Yarrowia lipolytica: one gene and its partner. The protein of the gene in region 1 binds, or shares a complex with, the protein of each later gene. Links are inferred from orthologs where the notes say so. Each region holds a gene or a part of one and is shown in the gene's direction. Other genes may lie near its edges.

The links. Proteins that work in one complex are often made in the same cells at the same time.
Region 2: the proteins of YALI1_D31568g (region 1) and YALI1_F10688g are in contact, whole or in part, in a cryo-EM structure (PDB 8TW8), measured with the Saccharomyces cerevisiae proteins. The link is inferred for Yarrowia lipolytica from reciprocal best matches to the Saccharomyces cerevisiae genes CTF18 and RFC4. Residues at the interface, in NP_013795.1 of Saccharomyces cerevisiae: Asp394, Ser395, Lys416, Phe419, Leu428, Trp462, Phe465, Leu468, Met469, His476, Glu479, Leu480, Arg482, Tyr483, Leu486, Gln493; in NP_014547.1 of Saccharomyces cerevisiae: Asn148, Glu152, Gln155, Ser156, Val267, Phe271, Ala278, Gln279, Val280, Lys281, Glu282, Ser283, Arg285, Leu286, Ile289, Lys290, Ile292, Gly293, His296, Met297, Leu300.

What each region holds. Positions count from the first base shown.
Region 1 is NC_090773.1:3,150,520-3,160,667, reverse strand, and holds YALI1_D31568g (uncharacterized protein), read left to right. Parts: upstream 1-3,882; coding exon 3,883-6,495; downstream 6,496-10,148. Other genes in the region: YALI1_D31526g (uncharacterized protein), read left to right, coding at 8,129-8,581. UniProt on the Saccharomyces cerevisiae protein: Essential for the fidelity of chromosome transmission. Required for the DNA replication block checkpoint.
Region 2 is NC_090775.1:1,063,974-1,072,343, forward strand, and holds YALI1_F10688g (uncharacterized protein), read left to right. Parts: upstream 1-4,905; coding exon 4,906-5,907; downstream 5,908-8,370. Other genes in the region: YALI1_F10652g (uncharacterized protein), read right to left, coding at 448-1,284; YALI1_F10660g (uncharacterized protein), read right to left, coding at 1,317-2,078; YALI1_F10671g (uncharacterized protein), read left to right, coding at 3,178-4,263; YALI1_F10713g (uncharacterized protein), read right to left, coding at 6,552-7,421. UniProt on the Saccharomyces cerevisiae protein: Component of ATP-dependent clamp loader (RFC and RFC-like) complexes for DNA clamps, such as the POL30/PCNA homotrimer and the checkpoint clamp DDC1:MEC3:RAD17 complex.

The sequences.
Region 1 (10,148 bases):
CGTCCATAAAACTCGATGAAGCGACACCAGGACTTCTCAAACTTGACAAATACATTTGCCGTACGCTCAAAAACCGCTTTTAAAAACCTTCTCCCCCATTGAGCTATTTTTTCAGCCGTTCGGACCAGTTTTTGGACCGTGCCGCGCAAAAAAAAGCAACCAGTAAAACATGCCAAAACCCTGACCAAACCCTGGACAAAAAGAGGTATCGAAAAGTGGACCTGACGAAAAGTGGGCACCGATTGCGCAGAATACAACTGTAGAAATGTTTATTGATTTTCTCCCATTTTGGTCCTCTGGAGCGGCTGCAAGGTTGGCTGATAAATCCGAAACAAATACCCGTAAAATCGAACAAGAGAAACTAAACAAACGGAGCTCCTCTAGAGACTGTCACGTGGATCAGAGAGTAACAATTAACGCACGTGACATTTTATTATTTATATATATATTTATATATACTCTTCGTTGTATAGTTGGTATATTGTCCAAACGACCAAACGACCGAAAAATTGTAAAAAAACGAAAAAAAACCAAAAAAATAACAATGTATTATTACAAAACTAGTTCTGAGCAACTCTGAACTAAAAAAAGTTACTGAGTGAGCATGCAGTTACTTGCACTTATTTGCCTATTGACGCTGCCATTGATTATGCTGTGTTGACACTGTGTAACCCTGATTGAGAGTTGTACCAAGTCGACCTCAACTGGGCAGTTTCACAAAATGAAAAGTGGACCCAAACCATCTAGGGTGGTGATTTGGCAGCAAATAAGAGCTCTGCCAACAGCTATAGGGTCCACCACTAGAGGACCTGCCGCTAGAGAGTCCGCCGAGGATCCACCGCTAGAGGATCCATCCAGGTTCAATCCACCGCCAATCCACCGCGTTCACACCCAACCCATCACTTGCTCAGATACGGCTGGTCAAAGGTGACATGCGGCATTTGTATTCCTCTTAGTGAGACAATCTGAGCATACAGATCTCGCCAGGAAACACAAAGCGGAGGTGAGTGGCAGAAGTCAATCTGCTGAGACAGGAAGTTCTAGCCAGCGTCCCAAAACTGACACCCAGACTGACAACCAGACTGACAACTCGACTGCCAAATATTACTCCCGAATTACAACCTGCGCGAGACAAGCGCTAGTAAGTCAAATCTGCCGAATAGAGCAGCACTTTCCCTGATCTGGGAAACACCCACTCAGACAAGAGCCTGGATGCTCCCCCTACACTCTTGGGAAAATGTCACATCTCTCCCACAACCTGAGTATGCACATCATTTGTACAAACTAGAGATGGTTGTGAACGCGGGTGCGAGGAGCCACTGTTCTTCTCAAGCTGCCGCAGGAGTGCCGGACTCAACTCCCCTGCGACAGCGCCGTAGGGAATGTTGTAGAAGACCAGCTGTGGGCTCCTGACTTCAAGAAGATGCACTCCTCGCTGCCAAGGGGAAGAACAACCGAATGCCAGGACCAAGGCCGCGAACGATACGGTCAATAATGACTCATCCCAGAGTCAAGAAATGAACTCCAAAAAGACTCCACGTGACTCACGTCCGGGTTCATGAAGACCAGCAGTTTAAGTCGTTCTGACAACCTGCAACGAACTAGGGGGCGCTGATCCTCGGTCCGACCCTGGAACACGTGCCAGGGGAATCTAGACACCATCGACAGAGGTTGTAGATCTGCAAAAGACCGACATCTGAGAGATTGCTTCTGTAAACCCCTGATCAGAAACAAATCACTCGTTCCAGCCACAGCCACTACCACAATTGATGTCTTCAGACAGCCGTCGACTGCGCGAACCATAGACGCCGCACCCACTAAACCTCGAACGCTGCAACCATTGAAAAGTGCAACAAGTCACAGGATCAGCCGTGAACGAGATGCAGTCGTTGAGTCGGAGCAACTCACTCAGGACAAGCATCAACGATAAGACAACAGCAAATAGCCATATCGCTCAACCAGCTCTGCTCAATCATTTGCTCAATATCGCTGGTCGTGGCGGTGGCACTCGTACCTACCGCCAGGAAGAGAAGTAGACACTCTAGTCTGAAGTGACAATCCACAGTTAATGTAGTCATCACAAGGCCAAATTAGTCACTGCGCATTCCATGTAGTCAATACCACACAGTCCATGTAGTAATTACGCAGTCTCCGCCCAGTACACGTAGCACGTAGACGGCATTCCAATCAGCAGCAAAAGAAGAGAGTTTCCGGAGTCCACCTAACGCGCTGCGCCCTCACATTCCTTTTGTGTCACTGACAACACTTACCGAGCTGTCATAAAGTGGAGTGTAAGAAGAGAAGAAAAAAAAAAACAAATCAACTTTATAGTGGTTGTACAGTGCAATTCGACCAGTCAGATCTTATACTACAGTGTACCAGACCCTGGTATTGAATACTGTACCTGTTCGCACCCCTGAGACACTCAGTGAAACCTTGGTAGGTTCACGAGAGCACCAGAAGTTATTTCTGGGGTGGTATGTTTCTCACCAGTGCGTTTTTAAACCCGTTCCGTCACAACACCATAGAACCAAGAGATATAGATTATTTAGTGGTACCGTTGGAATGTGGAGATGATAGCGAGTAAAATGATATATTTAACGGCCATAAACAGGTTTATGTGAAATTGATAAGTCTGTCTGACGTGAAAATGTATAAAACTGACAGACTTTTCAGTCAGTCAGTTGCGTCAAGTCTGTCAATTCCAGACGATTTTGTTTGAATTATTTTGAATGGACAATTTCCACTCACGTTATATTCATTACGTGAAAAAAAAAAAAAAAAAAAAAAAAAAGCTCAATTCCACATCACAGAACGTCCTGGAGTCAGTGTTTTTTTTTCTTCTTTTATTTTTCCCTATAAACTGTCAAGTAACTGAATTAGAACAGTTAACGATGTTGAGCTTTTGATGAGAAATCTCCTCGTCTCTCTGTTTAAAAACATCCATAAAATACCGAATATCGATATTTACAAGAACCGCTGTATTATCTGGACCTCAACTTACCGATCGATACTATCAAAAATTGCTTTCTATACTCAAACACCCACCGTGTTTGGCTGCTGTCTCCAGTCTGTCAGTTGATGGGATTGCCAAGTGAATAGTTAAGAATTGTTAAATCAAAAAACCGGCTTGAGGTCGCATTTCCATGTTCCATAAATTGAATAGAATATATTTCGATACATGAAGATACAGAATAAATGAGTTTCTAACTGATCCTAAATTGTGGTTATTTTGGCATCAACAGAATTTCATTCTGGAGATGGTCATAAAATTGCAAGCAGGTATTTTTGTTGAGACCTTTGTTAGAATATTAACAGCACCTAAACAAGAACATCTGTTTGTGTTTTTTTTTGTTCTGGAAAAATAAATAATTAATAAATTAATAAAAAATAAAAAATAAAATAAAAAATAAAAATACAATATAAATAAGTAAAATGCATCCAAGGACGTTTCAAGCGTTTTGGGGGTGATTTGGTGAGTGAATAACACGAGCATACTTAATCGTTGCTGTTCAGTGGATGTTAATTAATTTTTTATTATATTGAATTCTTTAAAATAAATTTATAACCACTATTGTAACATATTGTGGTAACACTGTAAGTATTTGTATTTTGTATCCACTGATCCACGAACCCCAACCCAACCAACCCTAACATCAACCTAAAACGCGCTTCTACGTTAATTGAAATTTCGCGTTTCAAATTACAACCACTGATACACCTCTACAGGACGCTTTTACAGGACGCCTCTACACCTTCAAAACCGCTGCTGCACCGCCACAAAACACTCACGTGACACGTGACAACCCAACCGAGCGCCCAAAACACATTTTTACGCACTTTTTAAGCACTTTTCGACACTTCGACACACCTTTGAACACCATGTCTCTAGACTGGGGAGGAGGATTGTTTGGGTCCGGGAGCGCACTGGACGAGCTGCAGCGCGTTGGAACGCGGTCACGTGAACTTCCACGTGACGAGTCCGATATGGAGCTTTCCGAAGGTTCTGATCTATCCATGTCTGCCGAAGAGGATGAGGGGGAGGGGGAGCGGGGAGGTGAGGAGGTAGAACCGACCAGCGATCCCATGACCAACCACGTGACCCAGATGTGCGACCTGGATAATCACATGACGCGCTTCCCGTCGCCGGCGGCGGAGGAAGATGACTTCATTGCGGAAATGTTGAGAGCCAACGAACCCAAAGACTTGCCAGCTTCTGCCGCCTCCGCCGCTCCGTCACGTGATATGCCACGTGACCGCACTTCGCCCACCCGATACATCACGCTCTACTCCGGAATGACCCTTTCGCGAGCGAAAAAGTACATCAAAACGACCCGGCTCCGAACAATGCAACAGGAGGAGGAATCGCTGAAGAACCACTACGGAATCGATGTGAGCGGCATCAGACAGAAGCTGGTGGGCCAAAAATTCGACAGCAGCGAAACTTGCAATACGCCAAATCCTACCGCTGGAGATACCGGAAATACCCGCCCGAAAACGGCATCTTGCGATACGTCCAAAATTCCGGCAGACGCATTCAGCGATTCGAGACATCGTGCGGGTCTGCTCGTGTCTGGAATTGGGTCACGGGACGGCCACCTCTGGGTGGAAAAACTGCGGCCGCAAAAGCTGCTGGATCTGAACGGCCATTCCGACCGCCACAAGGACATTTTGTACTGGCTGAGTGAATGGAACTCCTTCATTTTCCAGACTCCGTCGCAGGCGGTGCAATTCAAAGCCAAGCAGCGGGAAAAATGGCTTAAAAAAAGCGGACGAATCGAAGATGCTGTCCACGCAGGATCACGTGGGGTCTACGAGGAGCGCGAGGCACGTGACCGCCCCCAGAAGCGGATCCTGCTTGTGCACGGCGAGCCCGGAACCGGAAAAACCACCGCCTGTGGGGTTTTGGCCCGGAATTTGGGGTTCAACACGCTGGAGATGAACGCGTCTGACGACCGTGGCAGCGAAGCGTTCCGACGGGGCGTTTTGGGTCCCATGAGAACCCACTCCGTCACTTCCAAAGACCGTCCTAACTGCGTGATTCTCGACGAGATTGACGGAGCGGACCCAATCTTCATCGACAAGTTGGTCAAGCTCGTGCAGCGCGACGAAAAGGAGGAGTTATGGCATGAGCGGAAAAACAGACATAAAAAGACCAGCGCCAAAGACAAACTCAACACCCTCATCAGCCGACCCATCATCTGCATCGCAAACAACCTCCACGGGTTGCTGTACAAACTCCGGCCGCATTGTCGAATCGTCAACTACGGCCGACTGTCGCCAGCTCAATCGCTGCGAATCGTGCAAAACGTGTTTCGAACGGAGATGAAGCTGCAAAAACTCACCTCCAAACAAAACAGATTCCTGGCAGACATCTGCAACTCCACCGACGGAGACATTCGACAAGCCATCAACATTCTGCAGTTTGGAACCCCCGAGGCCGACACGGCCAATCTGGTGGACAAGTCGGCGCTGTGGAACAACATTGTCAGTTCACTCTTCAGTCACGTGCCCGTGGGCAAAGACCGGGCTAACCACGTGGAAAACTTGTGCCAGAGATCGCTGCGATGCGGAGAATGGAATAAACTTGTGTTTGGAGCCTTCTCAGCCTACATCACGTGCCTTTCGGGAGCAGGCAACCTCACCCAACTCACCAACATTGCCAAACTCGATGACTGGTACCACCTGTACGACCTCGCCAACACGCTGGGGTCCCGCGACAGTTACCACCCGTATACGCTCGCGGCCTTCTCGCTGATGTTTGGATCCACCACCAAAAACCACGTGACCAACGTCGAAACCGACTACTCCCTCACCAACCAGACTCAGACCCAAAAGCTGCGTCTCAACGACATCTACAGCAACATTCCCGTCGAACTAAGGCGGTATCTCAACAAAGAAACGCTGCTAGATGATCTGGGAATGTTCCTGGACACTATGACCCGACAACAGAGAGGAGTCACCCCGGAACAAATGGCGTCTCTCGCAGAATCTCTCACCTCCCTGGGAGTGTCCCTCAAGAAGGAGAACGTGTACAATGAAATCTCCTCCAAGAGGGAAGACGTGTACGTGTTTGTGCCGCCGGTGTGCGACCTGTCACGTGCCCCGGATGGCCAGCCCCGGGACACAAACTCCGTGTTCCTCGAGTCCCTTTACAAGATCCTCACCCCGGACCCGACCCTCAAGCGGCCAGGCGAATTTTCCCAGGTGCAACCCAACAAGAGACACGTGGCGGCACATGATCTGGCACGAGACCCGGATCCGAGGACGCGCGGCGGGCCCCCGCCATCTTCGTCAACGGCAAAAAAGCCATCCAAGTCGTCCACCCTGCTGGACTTCTTTATCAAGGAAACGGTCGAGATCACGCCGTCGCAGGTGGTCCGCAACGAGGCCAAGGAGCAACAAGACACGCTGAACACGTGGGTGTCGTACTTTGAGGGCTACTCCAACGCTGTCCGGCGGGACCTCACCTGGGAGCAGTTGTGGATGGAGTAAGATACAATGAATACAAATGTATACAGTGTACATGGTCGCGTAGCAAGGCCAAGTAGGACAAACTTCTGTTGTGGACAGCCACGGCTTTGCTTGGCAGGAATGACTGCGATCGAGTTTTGGAATGTGGTGACTTTAGGACTGATTGGGGCATGGTCACACTGTCCGAGCCAGAAGTAGAACTACACACGCCCTCAATGCGAACTGATGACAGTCTTTGTTGCGCCCCATGGAGTTCTTAATGCCAAATGCTCGGCCTGAGAGGAGAACAAAGTCTGGGCCATATGGGGTCGGAAGATCTCAACAGGGTGACTCTAGAATTATGGTCAGAGGTTCAGAGTAGACAACAATCGACTCAGAAATGTACATGCACCCTGGGAGACCTGTCTGCGGGGGCAATGCCGCTTGGATTCGAGCCAGGTGAGCCAGGAAGTTTCATGACAGCTTTCACGGGTGGAAACCATGTGCGGAACGGTGAGTGGCGTGCCAGTTGGTTTCAGGTCACCATGCTGTGTCAATAAGAGGGGATTATGACTCTGTCATTAGATATTGTGCCAGCAGTGTGTACGTACCATATCCCGAAGTCGCCGACAGAAGCCGTGACTGGTGGAAGAGTCTGGTTGAAGGGTAGCGGAGCTGTGGGTGGCGGATGAAGATGCCGCTGGGGCTAGCCCTGGAGACATGAAGATGAAGCTCCAGGGTCAGAACCAGAGTCAGGGTCAGAACCAGTGCTGAACCAGCAGCAACAACAGATCTCCCGGCTAACAGCACGATTCCGTCCATGCCTGGCACGCTGCCCACCAGAGTGGCCGGCCGACAATAGCAGATTAGGTCACGGCATTTTGCCACTGCGATTGAGCCCCTGTTCAATCCTTAATATGATGACGCGACGAGAGTCGAGCTGTGTAGGGCGGTGCCTGTGTTCCGACAGAAAGGACACAGATGGTGACGCAGAAGAGGTGGAAAAGGAGAGGTATCAGTGGCGGTATCGGAAGCGGTGTCTGTGTCACTATATTAGTTGCTTTCCGTATTATTCTCTCTGGTATCTGGAACAAGTGAAATGTAAGAGGAAGAGTTAGTTGGGAGGTTGATTTTTCAACTAAATAGTTATAAAAGCTCCAACAACGGTTACTTTTTAGACTACAACATTGTTGGCGACTAAAATATTTTCAGGATACGAAATTACTCATAACTCGTGTCACAGTAGTGCCAGAGATGCCGGAGCTGCACCAGTAGATTCTTCGACTCCACAGCATTCCATTGATGCCAATTTATTCCATATTATCTCTGTTTCAAAGTTTCACCAAAGTCGAAATTCAGTCGACCATATTAGTCAGCATCAAGAATGCAACCAACTCCGCAATATCCGCAATACCAGCACTACTTGACGGAGAGTATTTCCGAAATATAACCGTCTCGCAACAACCGTCTCGCAGTAACCGCCTCTCCGGCTTCCCAATGATACCCATTTCGACCTTCAGAGACCTGCCGGAATACCAACTAAAACAACCACCAACTACAAGTTCGAGTACAGCATCTGTACAGTACTTGTACTCGATTTGTACCGACGATCATACGTCATCGACACAATCGAGGTCTAAGTCAAAGAGAACGTCAGTATCGAAACGGAACAAACATGCATCTCTGTCGGCTATGTATGTACTATACGTATTATGATAGCAAGCATGAAGGATCGAAACAAGCCAACACTCGATGCAGTGCCCTGGCGACTGAAATAGCAACGGAATTGGATTCTCCGCAACATGACGGTCTCACTCATACCAAGAGCGTCTTCTCAACCTTCAAAACACAGCCTCAGATTATAAAAAGAGAAAGAGACGAGAATTGCATCGAAATTTCCAACTTTTGCTGCAGATATCGGGGAGTTTCATTAATGGTATCGTTGGATTCGTCCCCATCTCACGGGCTCAACCATATCAAAATATCCCCATACACTCTCACAAAAATGTGTCGCAATTTGCATTTTTTCGCAAATCCACCTTTAAGACCTCCCGGCTTGGCGCCAAGAGGGGCAGCATTCTTTCCCCTGCTTTCTCGGCAATGCGCACGCAATCCAAATCCCAACTGACGCTCGCTCGAGCAAGTCTAAGCCTGTTTGATGAGATGAGATGCGATGAACCATGCTGCCAGACGATCAGGGCAGTCAGAAGAGTCCGAGACGACGGCAGAAACAGGTCACATGAGGAGACATCAGGCAGATCCCGGTCCAGTCACGTGACCCAACCAGTTGCAGTGAGTGTTTCATCCGCCACACACAACCGTCCGTCTCTCTAGCTCTTGTATTGAGCAAATTTCGGCGGCATCTTTTCACCTCCCCCCTCTTCCCCTTGAAATTACCCGGCCGAAAGTTTGCTGGAAAAAATACAGACCTCAAAATATGCCGCAAATTGGGGCTACAAGAAAAAGAGAGATGCTGTTGGAATCGGAATGACGAGATCAACAAAACGCACTCTTCCATTTTCCTGACTTATTCCTCCCTTTATCTTTCTTCGGAGTCCTAAAAAAAAACACCCCAAAAAACAAGCGGCTATTTTAACCTTGGCTTAGTTTGCAAGTTAAATTTAGAAGAGAGAAAAAACAAATAAATTTCCACCGAATTATACTATTAAGTATTTAAATTATTTAAAATTATTATTATATATAAAAAAAAACATCAAGGTAAATATGCCCCAAATTGAGTCATATGACTGACAAGTCGAATTGACCAGTCACATGCAAGGTAATGTGCGGCTGCACAAGAATAATAATTCGCGGCTCGGACTGTCCACGTGACATGAGCCGTACCGGCTTGAGGCTGTCTACCTGCGGGTGCAATGCGGTGCATCTCTGCAGCACAATGCATGTTTAATGCATCATGTATATGGGACGGAGAATGGGTAAAAACGGGTAAATATTGGCCAAAACGGGATTTTAAACAGATTAATAGTACTTTTGAGTCCCGGGGAACCCTTTGGTACTAGTCATGGATAATTACGAGTCCTGGTTAAATTTCTAAGAGCTGTAGTTCATCTTCAATTTTAAGTTAGAGTGCGCACGCGAGCATATAAACGAACCCTAACCCTAACCCTATTATATTGCTCACACGACCAAACAAACAATGGAGATGGAGATTATACATCTATAATATACTCGGAGTAATTATGCCAGTTCCAGGGGTGAGACAATGCGGTTGCAGCAAGAAGGGATGTGCGTGAATAAGATGCACTGTCTTATTATTTTTTTTGTTAAAAAATCTAGTAAGTAGTTACTTGGGAAATGGTTGGGAATAGATAAATGACGGAAAGACAGACGTATTTGGTGTCATTTTGAAGTGTTACGAGTCACAAATGTCGTTTGGATTATCCCAGAATCGGAAACTCGGCATGGTAACACGTGACAGCGGGTTTTCAAGTTGGGTGAACTGGAAGGGACTTCAGCACTCGTTATTCATATAATATAAGTATGTATCCTATAGCTACTCTCTTTAACTCTCTCCATGGTTTCACAGATTGATGTTTTCTCCTCTCATCATGATTCTACACACCCAAGTTCTACCGACTCATAAGACATACAGGAAACTCTGAATCTGACCCCAAAAGATCGGCGCGGTTTCATTTCAGCTCAGCGATCATCTACTGGACCGTCGATCAGAACAC
Region 2 (8,370 bases), on another chromosome or scaffold:
CAGTGCGTATACAACCTATAACAACTTGTTGTAACATTACAATGTAACGAAACAGATCCCAAAGACCCAAAAACAAGGAGATCATTACTCAGCCATTCAGCCGTTCTATTGCCAAAACAACCTCGGAGCTACAGTACTTGTACGAGTATGACGCAGCCAACAAAGTTGTGCCGCGCCAGCTGGCTGTGCTGCATCATACATGTAGGAACAACTGTTGACTTGTACAGCCTACAAGGAACTAGAAAATAAGGGGTAATGTCACGTGCCCATTGTGTGGTCACGTGATCTCAGCTTTGAATAGATTTGGATCATTTCACTGTGACAATATTGTGCAAGTTCCAACTTATGACATACTGAAAGTGAGTAAGATAACGCTCAACGGTCATTGGTTACACATTACTTGGTTGCTTTGTTGTACTAATATACTGTCTGTATTGGTTCTATTCGTTAATTGATATCGGAAAACAACTTTAAGGCCTCAACAACCACCTCATCCTGCATTCGAGGAGCAATCAACTGGATAGAAAGAGGAGCTCCTTCATACGTCTCGGGAGAATACAACGCCTGCCATTCGGCATCTAGCTTGTTTCGGGGCTTGAAGTCCTCCACAGGCTTGTCGGAAGCCTTGACAGACGAGTAAGGGACTGACACGGAAGTGTAATCCGCCAGATTCCAGTACGCTGTGTATCCCCAGTAGTTGCAAGTTCCAAACTTGAAGGCAGCTCCCGGCAGAACCGGGGTGATGAGCATGTCGATTCCAGCCTTGGTCCACTCGTGCATCAGGTTCCAACGGAAGGTGTCTCGTTGAGTGTGTGCTTTCCAGAGCTCCTCGATGTTGAATCGCTGGACGCTGGGGTTATTTAGAGCCATTTTGCTCATTTCAGTAAGAGATTCTCCAACACTGGACAGCTCTTCTTTGAGCTCTTTTCCTCCGTCGGGGAAGTATAGCGACGAGATGATATGGACGGCTCCAGATGGGTCGTAAGGAGTGAATGGAACCAGTTCGATCTCGACATGCTTGAAGCTCAACTTTTTGATCTTATCAAGGTACTCGTTGACAGCCCGAATGACAGGGGGATGGGGAGTAACGTAGCCGTCGTCAGCGTAGTAGCCCACTCTTAGCTTCTTCTTTTGAAATAGAGCTGGATTCCACATAGACCGTTCAGTGAAGGGGTCGTATCTCCAGACTTCTGCGTCCGACATGACCTTCATGAATAACTCCAGCAGCTTCGGAGATGAAGTCAAGGGCCCAATACATGCCTTGATCGAGTCTGCTCCATGCATAACATAATCACAGCCCGTGTTTGTAATTCTTCCTACAGACGGACGAAGACCATAGACACCACAGCAAGCAGCTGGACCTCGAATTGAGCCTCCAATGTCAGTTCCGAGACCCAAAACAGACGCTCCAAGACCGACGATGGCTCCTTCACCCGAGGATGAGCCTCCAGACGTGAGATCTCGGTTATAGGGGTTGTAAGTCTTTCCATGGAGAGGCGACTCTGATTCCAGCGACATGAGAAATTGGGGACCGGTATTCGACAGTAAGGGTTAGCTCCGGCTTTGTAGAGTACTTTAAGGATGATAGCATTGTCCGGAGTGATGTTGTTGATCTTGGAAGACACGGAAAAGTGGCAGGTTCGGCCTTTGAAGCCCACCATCTCCTTGACGGACACGGGAAGTCCATGTAGAGGACCCACGGGCTTTCCTGTGGATTTTAGATAGTCATCAAGTTTCTGAGCAGTTTCCAGTGCCTCTCGAGGAAGCAGCTCCGTCAGGCAGTTTGTGAGAGTCTGGGCAATAACAGCAGCTCTTAGGAACGCTCCTGCGACAGCCACAGCCGATACCTTGGCCTTAGCAAGCTGATCGAGCAGCTCGATTGGGTCCGAATTGATGATAGCTGCATCGTCATGGGCCAGCATCTCCTGGAACACGGGGATGGAGTTCTTGGGCAACTTTGCGGGAACTTCATGATGTCTCGAGTCCTCGGGTGGAGGAAACACTTTGTCCAGCTCTGCAATGGAATCGTCTCTGATCTTGAGGAACTTCTCTCTAGCAATTTCGAATGTGAGAACCATGGTGAAGGTTGCAATCAGGTTTTGTCGACGATAGTTGGCCAACACCGTCGATGCCACTCCAAGGCATTATATATTGGCTTTTGTTATCATACGGTATCTCCGCACTCGAGCCGCAGCGGGAGTTTAATATGCGACGCGCAAGGTGGGGGAAGACTAGAGGGTGGAGCGGCTTGGAACTCATATGAAGAGTTGAAACAGATAAGGAACGTTTAAATACCCCGTTACGCAACGGCTGCTTTTCATCCTATGTGGGTTTTCGGTCGATAATTGCCTACAATTGCTCTCTTCTTCTCGGAGGGGTGCTCTCATTCAGGAAACTTTCCACGCCCTTATCAGCCTACATGCGTCTGACACCCCCGCTCAACGAAAACGATATGTACGTAGATCCATGTTCCCCGGAGTTTAGATATAGGTGTTGCAGTGAATTTAGGGGGTGTGATATACAGGTATAAAAGGTGCCACCGCCCCCACCCCTGCTCCTATCCCCAGTACATACAGCTTCTCTGAGACTATATCAACTTCCATGTTCAATTAAATCGCCAATTATACTTCGGTAAATGTCTCAAGTAATTACTTAACAAATGACTCTCAAACTGCCTTCTTTTGTTATTCTTTCACAGCAAAGTTATAATTAAATGAATGTATATGCAGAAAAAAAAAAAAAAACTTTTGTCAGACGACAAACACATATAGAGACAATACTAGTCATGGGATGAGTTCGTTACCAGTCTGCAACACTTCCTGCTGTCTCATTTTTCAATCCGTAGGCGATAATACAAAATTCCAAGAAATTCCATCTATTTCCACCATTGCCACCCATGCAGGTCAGGCATCAAAACTCTGATCAGTTAGCGAGGGGAGATATTTGGGTGTTGGTATCGAAGCCTTCCGTAGTTCAAATCTGGTAATTGGCAACTTCAAAACGTCCATGCGACTCCTTAGACTTGATTCAAGTTTTCACCCACTCAATAGGATTCATATTAACGTATTTATTGACACTACCTTCTCCTTCCGGGTCACGTGCCATGAACCCAAAAAATATATTTTCAAAATTAGACTGCGATAAATCCAAGTTTTCCAGACAACTACAACACACACAATGTCTTCCGAATTCCAAGAACTAATCGAATTTCTGCACTCCGACCACCCTGCCGTCAAGCAGGTTGCTCTACAGTCCCTCGTGGGCTACTCACAGGGCCATGCCGAGCAGTTCAAGGCCAACGACTACCAGGGAGTCAAGGATCTGGTGGCCACCGTCATGCTGGGCACCCCCAGAGTCAATGTGGAGAACGCTCTGACCATTCTCATCAACCTATGCGATGACAGAGACATTCTCGACATGCTGGCGTCCAACTCCATGTTCGTAGCCATGATTGCCTGCGAGATTTGCGATCTCGAGAACAAGCAGGCCGATCTGTGCTGTATGCTGCTAGCCAACCTGGCCAAGGACGACCACATTGTGTCCATCTTCGACGCCACCAAGAAGCTCAAGAACACGGAGGTGTTCAAGTCGGAAAAGCTCATCGATTCGCTCATGGACTGCTTTGTCAAGGGCGCTACCGGCAAGCTCAACCTCTTCTCCAACTTCGACTACCTGGCCTTTTTCTTTGCCGATCTGTCGCGATTCCGACGAGGTCGAGACTACTTTGTCACTGAGCAGCCCTACGATGGTCTGTTCCCCATCCAGAAGCTGCTGCCCTTCACCGAGTTTGTGGACTCGCGAATCCGACGAGAAGGTGTTGCTTCTACAATCAAAAACTCGCTGTTTGACACCGACAAGCACTCCAAGTTTGTGCTTGACCCCGAAATCAACCTGCTGCCCTTCATCATGCTGCCCCTGGCGGGCCCTGAGGACCTAGAGGACCCCGAAGAGATCTTTGATCTGCCCGAAGAGCTGCAGCTGCTGACGCCCGACAAGCGACGAGAGGAGGATCTCGACATCATGTGCACTCATCTGGAGTCTCTGCTGCTGCTGACCACTTCGCGGGAGATGCGAGAGTACATGCGAACCAAATCCGTCTACCCTATTGTTCGAGAGCTGCATAAGAACCACGACGACCAGACCATCCAGGAGCGATGCGACCGAGTTGTGCAGATGCTCATGCGGGACGAGCCCAAGGAGGCTGGAGATGATGCCAAGGTGAAGGAGGTTGACTCTGATGATGAGGTTGTCGAGGTGATTTAATCATAAACGAAGCGAGTGATAATTGCCCGGAACACGAGCGGGGCGAATGGTCTGTTCGGAGGTTTTACATCTAATCATGTCACCAGATGGCGCAGATCGAACAGTTGTCCGCACCTCTGGTCCCACAATACACATCAACTGGAGCCAGGGCTCATATGTATAGAAGCAGTTAATGAAATGTATTTGTATGAATAATTGAGAGATGATAGAATGATGTGATTGTGGATAGTGGTTGGTGTTTCTGTGTGTCATCATTGCGCAGAGTGGAGTGTAATAATTACTACTGTATGACCATCGAGGAAGCTGCAGCGGTATATTCAATTAGTTGACTTCACTCAACAAACAACTGAACTAGACTAACAGAACAAGCACCACAAGTGTCGGCCAAACAGTGCCACTTTTTTTTACTAGAACCAAATTTGAAAAGAGCAGTATATTTTCCGCTGTCAAATTAATCATTTCCTATTATCTTCCAGCGACAATTTATTAGCGAAACCTGATTGTATCCAGCACTCCAACTACCCTACAAACCCTCGTGCATCGCGAACTCAATTAATACACGTCTGCCGAAATTACAGTAATCAAGTGCTAAAAAATCACGTCCAACACGACACATCACAGCACACACTAATATTACACAACATGAGTGAAGCCGGACCATCGAAAAAGCGAAAGGGAGAGCCCGAGTTCGAGCTGCCCTGGGTTGAAAAGTACAGACCCATGTATCTCGACGACGTTGTGGGTCATACAGAAACCGTTGAACGACTTAAGATCATGGCCAAGGACGGAAACATTCCCAACTTGTTGATTTCCGGTCTCCCCGGTATTGGAAAGACCACCTCCGTGCATTGTCTTGCGCGTACTCTTCTCGGTCCCCAGCTGTACAAAGACGCTGTTCTGGAGCTCAATGCTTCAGATGATCGAGGTATCGAGGTGGTTCGAGGTAAGATCAAGAACTTTGCCCAGAAGAAAGTGACCATGCCTCCTGGTAAACACAAGATCATCATTCTGGATGAGGCCGACAGTATGACTGCTGGTGCCCAAAATGCGCTCAAACGAACCATGGAGTTGTACTCTGATACTACTCGATTCGCCTTTGCCTGCAACCAGAGCAACAAAATCATTGAGGCCATTCAGTCGCGATGCGCCATTCTTCGATTTGGCCGACTCTCTAATGAACAGGTGCTCGAGCGACTGCTGCACATTGTCGAGGCTGAAAACGTGCAGTGCTCAGACGACGGCCTGTCTGCTCTCATTTTCTCGGCGGAGGGAGATATGCGTCAGGCGATCAATAACTTGCAGGGAACTGTGTCTGGATTCGGATTCGTCAACTCTTCCAACGTTTGGAAGGTGGTGGACTCCCCCCATCCCGTGGTCGTCAAATCCATGTTGGATGCCTGCAGCAAGGGTGAGGTGACCGAGGCATGCGAGTCGCTCAAGCAGCTGTGGACCAAGGGATACAGCGCCCAGGATATCATCTCCACAATGTTCCGAGTCACCAAGACACTGGAGGTGCCCGAGGCGCTACGGCTGGAGTACATTAAGGAGATTGGCTTCACTCACATGAGAATCCTCGAAGGAATCACCACATATCTGCAGTTAGCAGGCTGCGTCGCCAGATTGTGTGGTATTCAGGTCAAGTGAGAGCTGAAATCAAGTCCACACAAGGCGGCCGATATTAAAAAAAGTCTCCAGAAGACCTGTCTCAACCCGTAGACAGTAATCCGTATCTATAAAATGCATTATAAAACCGAAAAGTGTGCAAGAGGTAGCGGTCTATACATGCCTTGTACACTATACTTTCACAATTCATGGACTCAAGCGCCTAGAGTATTGTACATACAGTAGTAGAAGTACAGTACTCACACGCGCACATATCTAGCCACATCAGGTTCTCGCTGAATATTAGTGAGACATATCTGAGCTTCGAGACAGCAGAAAGAACTCTGACACCGATAATCCCAACATAGTGTCCCCTGACCGAACCTATAGAGACGCAGATATAGTCCTGACACGTTCTTGAGACGCGTACAAGCTACGTTAGCTACTGCTTTGTGCTTGCTATCTTACTCATTCTGGTCCGACAGCAACTCCCGGGCCAGCAACTAATGCAACTTCAACTAAATACATTTTAAATATACTCCGAGTGAGCGTGTTACCCACGAGCTTTTGGACGAACACTCTGGGTTCAGGTTGGTGGATTACGGCGTGATAACCGTGGGCTCACAGAGTAAGTGCTGCTCACGCAGTTCTCACTTTGGTAATGCGCTCACTTGTGTTCCCCTTGTTTACCACCGAATCAACAAGGTCATTGTGGCAAGGAAACCGACAAATCCAGCCGCCAGCAGCGTCTGGTAGGTCTTGAATTGTTTCTTGGTGACTCCATCGACCGAGAAATCAGGCACTCCCATGGCGTTGCAGAAGATGTGGACGCACACGGGGGGCCAGACGGACTGGAAGCGCACGTAGAGCCAGGCGGCGTACCAGCCGAAGAGCGTGGTGAAGACGAGCTGCACGGCGCACTGCAGCGCAATGACCATGACCTTGTTCTTCCCTTTACTGCCCATGCTGACGTAAAGCTCGTAGCCGTGGTGCAGATGAGCGACACCAAAATACAGCGGCGTGACGAACACGGACGCCAGAGGCGAGTAGCCCGCAGCCTTGTGCACGGACATGATGCAAGCTCGGAACACGAGTTCCTCGGTGATGGGTCCCACAATGTAGTTTCGGATGCCCCACACGGTCTTGAGCTCGCGTTTGGCCAGGTGGAAGCCCAGCGGGAGCCCGTTTTCCAGGTAGATGCGCTGGTACAGCGGGCCAGCAAACAGTATCGCCACGTGGATCAGAGCCAGCACCGAGGTAGGCACGGTGCGTGTGAAGAAGTGCGGGCCCAGCTCAATGTCCATGAACTTGATGGTCTCGGACCACGTGACAATCTGCGGCTTGAGCTGCCATTGCAGCACGAGCGGTGTGATTACCAGCACGTCCACGAGCGTGCCGAGCGATATAATCTGCATGCGTTTTTTGACCACCACCTCGTCGTCTCTTCGGACGAGCTTGGAGGGCCGGGTGGATTTGCTGAGATACAGAGAGCCCACGTAGAGCGCCGTGATCAGGTGCGAGAACGACGCCGCCACCAACCAGTCTGCAAACGTCATTGTCGAGAGATGGGTTGCCGTGGTGTCTGTGCGTTTTCCGAGCGTTAGCGAAACTTGGAGATAGTAGTAGGCGGCTGCATGGTGAGTTTATTATGTTCCATCCCAGCCCAACCAAGAGTCATTGACCGGTCCCAAGCAGGATGAGGCAGTCCATGCATGCCCTAAACGGGGTGCAATTGACTGAAGGTCTTTGGTCTGGCGACCATGCACGTGACCGCCCACCTGCCAAGCCTATCTGTGTGGCGACTGGCCCATGACCTGTCTCAATTACTGCTACGGGTCGTACTCATACTTGTCTCTTCCGGCCTCTCCTCGCCCTCCATTTTTCCGTGGCTACCTTATTCGGTGAAAAACGTTGGCTTGTCTTTAAACTCCGTAGACTAAAATGACCGCAACTGTAGACTGTACGAATGGCGGTACTCTAACAACTAGCCCGTGGCAAGCGGGAGCTTGGGAGGGGTATTCGTCCTTTATATACCTACAGATCCTTGCGGGGTAGAGCGGGGTCTTCGCCACCACCACCTCCACCAACCCATCTGAGACATACGACTATTCTGGAACAGATTGCTGGAACCAGCGCGCATACATACGATAGTCGGCTATGTACACTAACTCAATCTGCACTTGCCATTAGGCAGGGACTGGCTGACAACGGCGCAAGCGGGATTGGAGAATGAGGGGTAAAGGGTGGACGTGGAGTAAGTGGGTGCAGATTGCGGAGGTGGTGGGGGGTCTCGTACATCCGAAGTATGACTTCTCGCCACACTCGGTTGACGTACATTTATTTGTGGCGGCGCGCTTAGTGGTTTCAGGTTCCTGCCAGCGCGCACCGGGAAGCAACGGCGACGGTTAACCGAGGCTCAGGTTGCGGTCTGTGGTTTACGCTTGGCGGAGGAACCATAAGGGTACTTTTGAGACTGAGTCCAGTCTGTCATTGGAAAGCGGTACA